Linked DNA regions of Danio rerio. The protein of the gene in region 3 binds, or shares a complex with, the protein of the main gene of each other region. Links are inferred from orthologs where the notes say so. Each region holds a gene or a part of one and is shown on either strand. Other genes may lie near its edges.

Evidence for each region.
Region 1: the proteins of sike1 (region 3) and slmapa are in contact, whole or in part, in a crystal structure (PDB 6AKM), measured with the Homo sapiens proteins. The link is inferred for Danio rerio from reciprocal best matches to the Homo sapiens genes SIKE1 and SLMAP. Residues at the interface, in NP_079349.2 of Homo sapiens: Ile5, Ile8, Leu9, Ala12, Lys13, Leu16, Leu19, Arg20, His22, Asp23, Ala26, Glu27, Leu29, Val30, Ser33, Ala34, Leu36, His37, Val40, Met43, Arg44; in NP_001291349.1 of Homo sapiens: Leu168, Tyr171, Leu172, Glu174, Ala175, Arg178, Glu179, Met181, Leu182, Lys185, Thr188, Leu189, Leu192, Leu193, Ile195, Thr196, Ala199, Ser200, Thr202, Ser203.
Region 2: the proteins of sike1 (region 3) and strn3 are in contact, whole or in part, in a crystal structure (PDB 6AKL), measured with the Homo sapiens proteins. The link is inferred for Danio rerio from reciprocal best matches to the Homo sapiens genes SIKE1 and STRN3. Residues at the interface, in NP_079349.2 of Homo sapiens: Glu96, His97, Ala100, Leu103, Ile104, Ser106, Lys107; in NP_001077362.1 of Homo sapiens: Arg176, Leu179, Tyr182, Leu183, Val186, Tyr188.

What each region holds. Positions count from the first base shown.
Region 1 is NC_133186.1:44,735,134-44,739,463, forward strand, and holds the start of slmapa (sarcolemma associated protein a), read right to left. Parts: upstream 2,935-4,330; 5' UTR 1,744-2,934; coding exon 1,546-1,743; intron 1-1,545. UniProt on the Homo sapiens protein: Associates with the striatin-interacting phosphatase and kinase (STRIPAK) core complex, forming the extended (SIKE1:SLMAP)STRIPAK complex.
Region 2 is NC_133192.1:30,183,711-30,188,016, forward strand, and holds the start of strn3 (striatin-3), read left to right. Parts: upstream 1-1,484; coding exon 1,485-1,712; intron 1,713-2,091; exon of another isoform or gene 2,092-2,221; intron 2,222-4,306. UniProt on the Homo sapiens protein: Calmodulin-binding scaffolding protein which is the center of the striatin-interacting phosphatase and kinase (STRIPAK) complexes.
Region 3 is NC_133198.1:43,061,747-43,064,979, forward strand, and holds part of sike1 (suppressor of IKBKE 1), read right to left. Parts: intron 653-3,233; coding exon 539-652; 3' UTR 1-538.

The DNA.
Region 1 (4,330 bases), on a different chromosome or scaffold from region 3:
GTTTTAGAGCAAGTGGACTTTCATGGCAGAATTTACATTTTTTATGTGAACTATCCCTTTAAAAGCTCATTGAAATAGTGTTTTTTTTTGCTCATTGAATCTTTGGATTAGTTTTAAGAAAAAGCTAATATATTTACTATATAACACAGGGGTGTCAATTTCAGTTCCTGGAGGGACGTTGACCTGCAGTCTAGTTCCAAACCTGCTTCAACACTCTTACCTGTGTGTTTCAAACAAGCCTAAAGAATTCAATTAGTTTCATCAGGTGTGTTTAATTAGGGTTGCACTAAACTGTGCAGAGCTGCGGCCCTCAAGGAACTGAGTTTGACACCTGTGATCTAATGCAGTGTTTCTCAACCACATTACTGGAGGACCACCAGCTCTGCACATGTTCCTAGACTGTCTCTTAATTCCTAGAACGCTGAGAACAGAGAACGCATCCTGTGAGAAATGAGATGCTGTGTTCTTCCCTGGGTCTTCCTGATGGTGACGTGACCTTCACATGTTTTTAATGGAATATGGTTTAAACATTACAGCATTCCTACAACAACGATTTATTGTTTTCCCCCATACATAATATATACCATGCATAAAAAAAACGTACAAATATATGCTTCACAATACAAATAAAACTAATTTTAACACGAATTTCAACAAGTAAACACCCTTTATGTGCTTATGCCATTATTATGATTTACATGGTAATGTTTAAATTCACCGTCTCATTTAGGGAAACTCCTGAAGTAAATAAGTTACATCTCTAAACTTTAATAATAAATCTAAATAAAATGCTGCGCTTCCCACCTCCTTCATACAGCCACAACGACTTCTAGGACTTCTCAAGCAAGTTTTGTGCTCAAGTCTGCATCGATGACTCTACGATATCAAGAACACATCTGGCAACTTTCACGCGTCCTCCGTTCTTGCCGTCTTGAGTTTTGGAACTGAACATAGGCAGTTAATGACGACATTACAGAAGAACACGAGGACGCAGGATCGCTGAAAAACGCCTATTGAGAAACACCCCATGTTTCCTTAACCAAACACACCTGATTTAGATCATCAGCAGAGACTGAAAGACCTGTAATGAATGTAACAGATAAAGGAGACATCCAAAATATGCAGTGTTGGTGGTCCTACAGGAACGTGGTTGAGAAACACTGATCTAATGCAGTGGTATATTTAGCCATAAATTCCATCTTAATCTACTTTTGGGTGGGGATATTATCTATATAATCCTAGTACAGACAATTGTGACAACATTGACAGATAGATACAAAGAAAATCTTAATAATTCAAGAAAGATGGAGGTGGATATGTCAAACACTGAAAAAAATATTCATTGGACTTACTAACTTTTTTGAGGCAAGTGGTTGCAAACAATTTATATAGACTGAATTTAAACAAACTAAATGTAGTAACGTTTATTTGTTTAAATTCAGCTCATGCTAATTTTTGCAACCACTTACCTTAAAAAAAATAAGTACATCTAATGAATAATGTTTATAGTTAACATCCAATCTATTGGTGAAACATCAGACTTACCTTGCCTGTCTTGTGGTCGAACCATACCAGAGCGTGATTCCTCGACAACACTTTGCAGTCGAAGGTGGCGTTGTTTTGGGCAGGGCGACACCGGGCCACGGAGCGCCCGATCTTGACCGGCTCATCCAGGTAAACATGGCGTTCCTGAAACGGGTGTGAATTCGGGCGGCAGGAGAACACGGCCAGCGCTGAAGGCATTGAGGATGGCTTGGGAGTGTTACTCCAACCAGAGACGAAAGACAGGGTTTCTTGATCCAGACTGACCTGTTGCTCCAATTCTTCCTAATGAATGACCAGCAGACCAACGCACATAGTAATACGAAAAAAATTCCAACTCTACAAAAAGACCCCTGCTAAACCGACTACATAACGTCAACAAGACTGTATATTTATACACTATGTAGATGACTTCTTGCCCCCTTGCGAGACCCCCATGTTGCCGAACCAAACCCAATACAGCTGCCCAATTCCATACAAATCTGGGTGTCCAGATGACAGTCCACAATTCGAGCTGTTATACTTCGTTCCCAACACAATTCATCCTCGTCCCCCTTTACAAGCATAGGCCTGGCCAGTAAACAACCCAGCAACTAGTACACCAATAACCTGTTGAATTGGTCAACCTTTACTCCTAAAAAAAAAAAAGAAGTATTACTGTCAAGTTGACATGCGTGTCTATATTTAGAGGGAATGACTGCTAGGCACGAAATGCACTTGTGAAAATGTTAAACCGTAATGAAGATTAATAATAATGTGAGTGGGTTTGGCTGAAGTATGCAGAGCAGACCATCAAGCCACCACTCCCCAAGACAGAGTAATTAATATTGAAAAATACCTCAAATGCCTACTTAAACAGACTTCAAATGCAAGTATTTAGCTGTCAGGATTGTATACAAGAGCACAGCTCGCGCGGAGGGTGTTTTCTTGCGCACGAGAGCGTTAGCTGGCTAACTTCATATTAGCTTGTTAGCTTCGCTGAGGTAACACTGGCCTTCTACTTTCACCTTATCGAGCCGTCCAAGCTGGAAGAGACTTTATAAATAACCCCGAGCTGATTTATCCCCGAAAACCAGCTATTTGTTCGGTCTGTGGAACTTTCATGCGCGGAGAATTTGCGTAAATCCAGTATTAGCTCGCGAGCTCGGTAACTAGCTTAGCCTGCTGAGAGACACAAAAATTTCCCCAGAAAAGAAAGTCATACACGAATAAAGTCCATGACACGGTCCCGTGTTAAGCCATGGAGGTCTCCGCTTTTCGGAACGCTGAAATCGGGAGGGAAATCGTTGTGTGCGACGGGATAATTGGAAGTAAGTCGTCCTCTTGAAGAGATATACACACACATACACACCGGCCACAAACCGCCGCGGGGCTCGCGCACCACCGAGATATGGGGCGGGGCTTTGCGGTGACGCGAAAATGTAGGCGGATCCGCGTTTCCAGAGAAAAAGGATGACGTTTTTCATGCGGATTGAAAATAATGTTTGTTTGTTCATTTTTCGGATGCTATTTTTTTCTTTTGTAATAGCATTTCATTTACAATCAACAAGCAAGACAACAACAGGTAAAACAATTTGTTGAACAGACAAAAAAAGTATGGAGCCAGTCAGATCAGTCTCAAAAATAATACATGTACATAATAAAACTCCTCCATGCACAGCACAATTCACATTTACAACATCCAGTTTGTAAATTCAAAACACAACTTGTAAATACAACCAACAATTTGTAAATTCACAAGCAAAAATCATAAATACTTTCACCAAATTAATTAGATTTGTGTATTTTTGTATAGTGTTTTCAATTTACGAATTGGATTTGTGTATTTATGAATCACATTTTAAATTTACAAATTGAATTTGAGTAATTATAAATTGCATGTAAACTTATGAATTGGATTGAGTATTTTTGAATCGCGATTTGTATTTACGAATCTGATTTGTGTAAATGAATCGCATTTTCAGTTTATGAATTGGATTTGTGTATTTATGAATCGTGTTTTGAATTTACGAATTGGATTTGTGTATTTATGAATCATATTTTAAATTGACTAATTAGATTTGTGTATTTATGAACCACGTTTTGAATTTACCAATTGTATTTGTGTATTTATGAATCACGTTTTGAGTTGACGAATTGGATTTATGTATTTATGAATCACGTTTTGAATTTACGAATTGAATTTGTGTATGTATGAATCGCGTTTTGAATTGACGAATTGGATTTGTGTATTTATGAATCGCGTTTTGAACTCACAAATTAAATTTGTGTATTTATGAATCGCGTTTTGAACTTACGAATTAAATTTGTGTATTTATGAATCACATTTTAAATTTACCAATTGGATTTTTGTATTTATGAATCACGTTTTAAATTTACGAATTGTATTTGTGTATTTATGAATCGCATTTTGAGTTGACGGAATGTATTTGTGTATTTATGAATTACGTTTAGAATTTACGAATTGAATTTGTGTATTTATAAATCGTGTTTTGAATTGACAAGTTAGATTTGTGTATTTATGAGTCGCGTTTTGAATTGACGAATTGGATTTGTGTATTTATAAATCGCGATTTTAATTTATGGATTGGATTTGTGTATTTATGAATCATGTTTTCAATTTACAAGTTGGATTTGTTTATTAATGAATCTCGTTTAGAATTTATGAATTGGATTTTGTAACTGTAACTTGAGTTGTGAATATATGAATTATATTATTTAAATGTAATATTTTTGAGACCAATCTGGCTCTATAAAAAGGGCTCTAACAAATAAACACAACAAAGAA
Region 2 (4,306 bases), on a different chromosome or scaffold from region 3:
ATTTCATTTCGTTTTTGTCTTAAGTGTACTTAACATTTATAAGTTGCTGTAATTAATTTTGTGGAAAAAAGTAAACATTTTGGTAAACATTAAACCTTTGGAAAACATTTATGGCTTTCTTTATCTAATACAAAATGCAATAAGAAAATAAAAGCCCTGTTTCAAGAAGATTCTGTTACTGTGCCTTATGTAATGTCATATTGCAATGGTTTTGAAAATGATATTTCATGGAAGAGAGTTTGGTCATTACCCCACTTTTTAACAAACAAGATGAGAGAAGTTTCTGCTTTCCAGACAAGTGTAATCTTAAAAGACTTCAAAACCAACTCTTCATTTTGCTTAGTGAATCCTGAAATTTCTGTTCATTTATTTTGGAATTGCCCTCATTCACTGACATTTTGGTGTGATGTTCTTGATTTCATAAAAGACGTGAAGGAACATTTTACATATGAAAATGTTGTCTTTGGTTTCCATGAATGTAAAAAGGAAAATATTAATTATTTCTTAAACCTTTTTTTTTTTTGGCCAAATTTCAAGCTTTGAAAGTGTAAACTTTTTTTTTTTTTTGTAAATTTAAAAATGAAATGAAAATGAATTTTGAGTCTATTGAGGGATCAACAAACTTAAAAGCAATACGAACAAGGACTTGACATCTTGGACTAAATGACTAAAAACTCCTGGATTGTTGTTTGATTGATGACATTTGTTGTTAATGTTTTTCAATCATTAATATATATATATATATATATATATATATAACATACATATATATATATATATATATATATATATATATATATATATATATATATATATATATATATATATATATATATATATATATATATATATATATATACATATATACATTAACTGCTATAATTTTAAAAAAATGATTGCAATTAAAATTTGCTGTAATTGTATTTTACATTTAAACTTAAACCAATAGCACCTTTAAATTATAACAATAAACAACATTCTCGACGGATGCTATTGATTATTTCAAGCACTTCTCCTTTCACAAACCGTACTATACGTCTATAGATATTGTCAACGACACATTTTTATCGCCTCATCAAGTAAAAAAAATCATAGATACAAAGCGCATGCGCAGAGTCTGTACGTCGTCAGTCTGGATTCGGATGACTCGAGAGCGCGCAGGGCTGGGTGAACGCGTCCCATCATGCAGCGCGCGCGCCAGTCCTCCCTCACTCGCTCGCTCACCCCCGCAGTAGGAGACTCACATCCAGGGATCGGACTAATGGCGGCCGGCAAATCCGTGCGCTGACACGAAATCCACAACAGCCGCTCAGGTGCCAGCCTATTCGGTTGGGGGCAGGGCGACGTCGCATCGCTAAGCGAACGGTAAAAAAGGGAGGGTAGAGGGGTAACAATCGGCGACTTCTAGCAGGACTTTCCTATTTTTAAACATGGATGAACAGCCCGGAGGAGGAGGAGGTGGTGGTGGAGGAGGAGGAGGAGGAATGGCCGCCCAGAGGCAGCAGCAGCAGCCCGCACCGCAGCAGGGCAACAACAGCATTAATCCTCAGATGAACAGCGCAGGAGGAGCGCCTATGGTTCAGCAACAGCAAGACGAGATGCCCAGGCCCCAGCAGTACACCATCCCGGGGATTTTACACTACATCCAGCACGAATGGGCCCGTTTCGAGATGGAAAGGGCGCATTGGGAAGTGGAGAGGGCCGAGCTCCAGGTAACGTTGTAGACTTTTGGATTTTGCTGACACACTGATTGGAAACCCCAAATCGGGGCATCGACCGACAACTCGTCGGTTGCTTTAATTAAAAGCTTGAGGCTGAATTGCTAAGCATTTTACCATACATCTCGCAAGCTTCCTGTCCACCCTGTTTACACAAAATTTCAACACTAGCAGTTGTGTCAATAAACAAACCTTTCTTCATTTGAAACATGCGAGACATATGTATTTAGCATGCCTATATTGTAAAACAGCAATCTAGTAAGTCGAGTCGCTTACTCGTTCCTAGTGTGGATGTGCTAAGCTAAGCTAACATGACATCGCTGTATTGGCGATAATACGCGACACCCGCTACGATGGATTCAGATTATCTTACCCACGATCACAGAAGCAGATCTAATAGTTGTTTGTTGCGGATTTATTGTGTCACGGGACGCATCTGTCAATGAAAGCCAGCAGACTTTGTCAACTATTCTCTTGTTCTGCCATTTTGTTTTGGTCAATATGGCGTCCGTATGGGTCGCTTTTTTATTGATCCATCCTACTGGGGCTCACTTTCACACCCTGCTTCAATTTTAGTATGTTTTACACACTGCATCTTTTATAAGATTCAAAAGAACATTAAGGGCTTTCTGATCAGCAAAAACTAGTTATCATAAAAATGCTGGATGACAGCGACGGTCACTATTTACGTTCGTTAATGAAACATAACGTTGCATTTAAAGGGAATAGAGTTTGAGGCGAGTTGCGAACACTCTGACTGATATTTGTACTTGTGTTACACATATGACAAACAAACTGTGTTAAACCGGTTTGGAACAACACGAGGGTGTGTAAATGATGACACTGTTCATTTTAGGTTCACTCTCCTTTAAGATCGCTATGAGCAGATAGACTTACTAGTTTAGCTCCTGGTCAGATCAGTATTTTGGATGAATCATTGGCATTTGGATAAGTCTCTTGTCACTATCTTTTTTTGTCATTATTTACTCACCCCTATGTTAATCTCCACCTGTATGACAGACTTTGTATAACACAAAAACACAACACGTTTGACAGAATAACAAACCTTTTAACAGTTGACCTGCATTTGTATTTAGAAAATACCTTTATCAGTTAAATAGTTTGTTTCATGGAGGTGCAGCACACAACATTTAGACAATATTGTTGTTTTTGGCAGTCAAATAATTAACAGGTAACATTCAGTAACGTTTACTTGAGTAAATTATAACCATGGTTTTATTGTTGTAAAAGTGTCATCACCACGTTTTTGTTGCATTGATTACATTTGCATAACTAAAGTTTTACTTCAAAGACTATGGTTAAACTATGGCTTAACCACAGTTTCCATGGTTTTCAGTTTTGTTAGTAAAAAAAAAAGAAGTGTCCGCTTGTTCTTAAAGTATTTTATTTAAAGTTCTGTCATCCTTTGTTCATCTCCTTTTTTTAAACATATTAAGAGTTTCTTTATGTGGAGGCGCAAGCTATTTTGATAAATGTTTTTGTTTTTTTTGCCTATGAAGAATAATGTAAACCGAATGAGTGATGACTGATTTACCAACAAACATTGTCTGTCCTTTTTTCCCCCCATGACTTTTGTATTTTTTGCTCGCCTCTCACTTTGACAGATTTATTTTTGGGTGAAAGAGTGTGTTATGACAGCCAAATCTCCATTCTCCCCGTATTAATGGGTGTAGCTGTCATATGTTCAGCCTACTAGAGATGTGGACGGCAGTGTAGCTTTTGTGAATGAGGAAAGGAGCTGGCAGGACTTGGCATTATGTAAACACAGTCAGTCTTCATTTCAGAGGCTGAGGAGTCTCTTCACTACCCCTGTACAGACTTGTTTTGTGACATACTTTCAGAATGACTCCCACCTCAAAACTAATGTGCACTTTTCATTAGAGGAAGTCAGCCCTCCCACACTCATACCGATGCAGGTCCTAAAAAGAGGGTTGGTCTTGTTTATTTGCTTTGCATTCCATATTTCCGAGGTTCACTTGCCATCTAACCATTAGACGCATACCGTACATACCACAAACGAAATGCTGCAAGTTGAACCAAATCAAATCATGCTGCCAAATATGAGCGCTTTGATTCTCCAGCTTTGCATGCAGATGCTTAAGTCCATTACCAGGTGCTGCTTTTCAGTGCTGGAGACGTTGCTAATGTTATAATGGATAGTGGTTCTGTGCTACTCTGATAGTGTCTGGATCTAATTGATGTGAAACTCTTCCTGTCAGCTTGCTTGGCTAGTAGGCATAGCTCTTAGCAGAGATGTCCTGAGCAGTCACATCAGGAACGGGCCTGATTGCTGTTATCTGGGTTAGCTCAGGGTTTGTAGGTCATGCTAGCACCATCTTCATAGTCATAATGGCTCATTGCACATCTCTAACCAATCCTACATTTGAAACTTTTTTGAATGTCTGTAAATCCTCTTCTCTTTCAAATGGTGAGATACCCAATTTACAGGTCATACTACTGAATTCTACGTATGAATGACTTCCTAGGTCATCTGTGAAAGTATATAGATAGAAGTATTATTTGAGGGACTTTTATGTTGGAAAATCAAAACGATGCTACGTTTTCAT
Region 3 (3,233 bases):
CTGGACACAAAAGAAGATATTTTAAAGAATGTTGGAATCATGTAACCATTAACTTCCATTGTAAGAAATCAAACACAATGGAAGTCAATGGTTATCGGCTTCCAACATTTATCAAAACATCAAATCAATATAAAATTTTCAGCTGAACTATCCACAATCCCTCTAAACCTAGTGAATGTGAAGCTACAAATCAATTTAAGACCGAAAAAAGCTTATTTTAAAATTAAAAACACTTACATCTTTGGAAAATTCAAACATAAACAGAGAAAGAAATGATCTATAACACACATCTGCCTAACGATTCAAGAGTCTATTATTAAAAGCAAAGAGGTCATGGGTCTTTCCTGAACTAAAATATTAATAACTCTAATATTAAACATCAGAAAAAGTGCATGATCGGACATAAGAGAGCTAAAACCACCGCCAGGACAGTTCTGAAGGAAACTAGAAAACCCAATAGAGATATTAGTGTCAGTGGACACCAGGTCAGCTGACACACAAATGCACAAACTGCTGTCTAAAGTAACATTATCCTCCATTAGGACTCCTGTTTCTCCACAGTCTCAGATGTCGTCTCCGGTGGGTTTTTCTCCTCTCTGTGCTGCTTCACAGAGCTGATGGACAGCAGACCCCGGAGCTCCTTGTTTTCAATCTGCATCAACAAAAGGACGCATTAGATTAACATATGAAAGTGCATTTAGAGTGCAAATCACACACCAAGTGCTATATAACTATTTTATTTTGTCAAAAATTGTACTTCCAGATGGGGAGGGAGGGAGAGATGGATTGATAGATTTGAAGTCAGAATTATTAGCCCCTCTGAATTATTAACCCCCCTGCTTATTGTTTCCCCAATTTCTGTTTAACGGGGAGAAGATTTTATCAACACATATAGAAACATCATAGTTTTAATAAGTCATCTCTAATAACTGATTTATTTTATCTTTGCCATGGTGACAGTAAATAATATTTGACTTCAAGTATTTAAGACGGCTTAAAGTGACATTTTTAGGCTTAACTAGGTTAATAAGGTTAACTAGGTAGGTTAGGGTAACTAAGCAAGTTATTGTGTAGTGGTTTGTTCTGTAGACTGTCGGGAAAAAAAATAGCTTAAAGGGGCTAATAATTTTGTCCTTAAAATGGCTTTTATAAAATTAAAAACTGCTTTTATTCTAGCCGAAATAAAACAGATAAGACTTTTTCCAGAAGAAAAAATATTATCAGACATACTGTGAAAATTTCCTTGCTCTGTTAAACATCATTTGGGAAATATAAAAAAAAAAGAAAAAAAAATCAAAGGGGGGCGAATAATTCTGACTTCAACTGTAGATAGATAGATAGATAGATAGATAGATAGATAGATAGATAGATGGATGGATGGATGGATGGATGGATGGATGGATGGATGGATGGATGGATGGATGGATGGATGAATGGATGGATAGATAGACAGATAGACAGATAGATAGATAGATGGATAGATAGCTCATTTATTGAGCAACTAAGATTAAAACTGTTAAAAATATATAACAAAAAAAAAAAGATAACTAAAATTAATAAAATTAAAAATTAACAAATAAATGAAAACTTAAACTGTAATTTTAACAGTCACTGATAAACTGACTGAAATAAAACACGTGATATATGTACAGGGTTCTTACACCTTTTCCAACTTCATGTGCATTGCTATTCAAAATTCCTGTAACAACAACTTAAATCCCTAATGTAGAATATAATATTCTTGCTGCAAATTAATGAACTGTTCCTATGTCAACTGTTTGGAAACCATAATTTGTCATCTTTCATCAATATTACTTTATTCAAAATATCTTATATCTTATATTTAGTATTTTTACAGGCATTGCAGGCTTTGTTTACTGCTGCAAGTTGACATGTCAACTGTTTTAAACTATTCCTGAGCACTGCGTTTGGCGTTTTTATGTGCAAATATGCATTCTGTGTGAACCTAAATCTCCTAAATCTGGTAAACAAATTTCGAGCCCTGCAATTTCAAATTCAAGCACTTTTAAAAGTCACTATTAAAAAACACTATTAAAAATCAAGCATTTTCCAAGATTTCCAGAACCCGTACGAACCCTGTAAGTAGTTGGAGTGGTTTATTAACTCGCCCTCGCCCCATTTGCAATATTATTCTACAGCGACATAGTGCATAGGCCAAATCATTTTGACACCCTTAGCGGTGTCAGTTTAGTGTATGCTTCAAACTATTATTTAAAGAAAAAAGCATGAATAAATCTAATATGACATGATAATCTTTTTTTATTTTGATAATTGTTTTTCATAGTCGGTGGAGGCCAAAATCAAAAGTGAAACTTTCTTAATTGAACAGATCTACTTCCTTATTGCTTCTAGTCTTTAGAAAGTTTTTTTTTCATGGCTCTATTTGACGTCATTGATGTTTTAAAGAGTTTTACCATTTTTTAATCCATTTAGCTGATTTCTGGGTCTGCTGGGAGCCCTTTTAGAGTAGCTTAGCATAGATCATTGAATTGGATTAGACCGTAAGCATCTCACTTAAAATTGACTGAAGAGTTTTGATAATTTTGCAATTCAAACCTTGATTTTTTTCTGTAGTTCTATCATGGACTAAGATTAACAGAAAAAAAAAAATCATTTTTTTTTAGCCTTTTATAACCAAGGACTATACTCTCATTCTGTTGTAATAATCAAAGAGCTGCCATACTTTGGCTCCAGCAGACACAATGACATTATGCAGCACCTGAAAATAGTCCCCATCTAGGTAACTTCCAACATGATCACCTACCTAATTTTCTTCCTTCAAAACACTGCATTTCCATTGGTCAAAGTTGCTGGAGTAGTGTGGATGCTACTTGTAATCATAACAAAACTTATGCGTCATAAGACTTTTATTACAAACATACTCTAGTGTAATGCCTAGTTCAGACTGTGTGATTTCAGCCCCGATTTTGGCTCGCCGACAGGTTTTGAGAAATCGCAGACAAATGCCTGAAATCACAGGCAAATCGGTGCTGTGAGTGACAATCACACAGTATGAACTATCAAAGACGCAATCTGAAAGAATCGCCGATGAGTCGCCGATGCCTGTGAGATATTTGGCGTGCTGAATATCTGGAGCTGTCTGCGAATCAAATCATTCCGTGTGAATTGAGTTTTTACTGAAAATAACATCAGCGATCGCCTACAGCCAATGAGAGAGCGGCATTCACTTGTGTGTGCGTGTGTGTACCTGC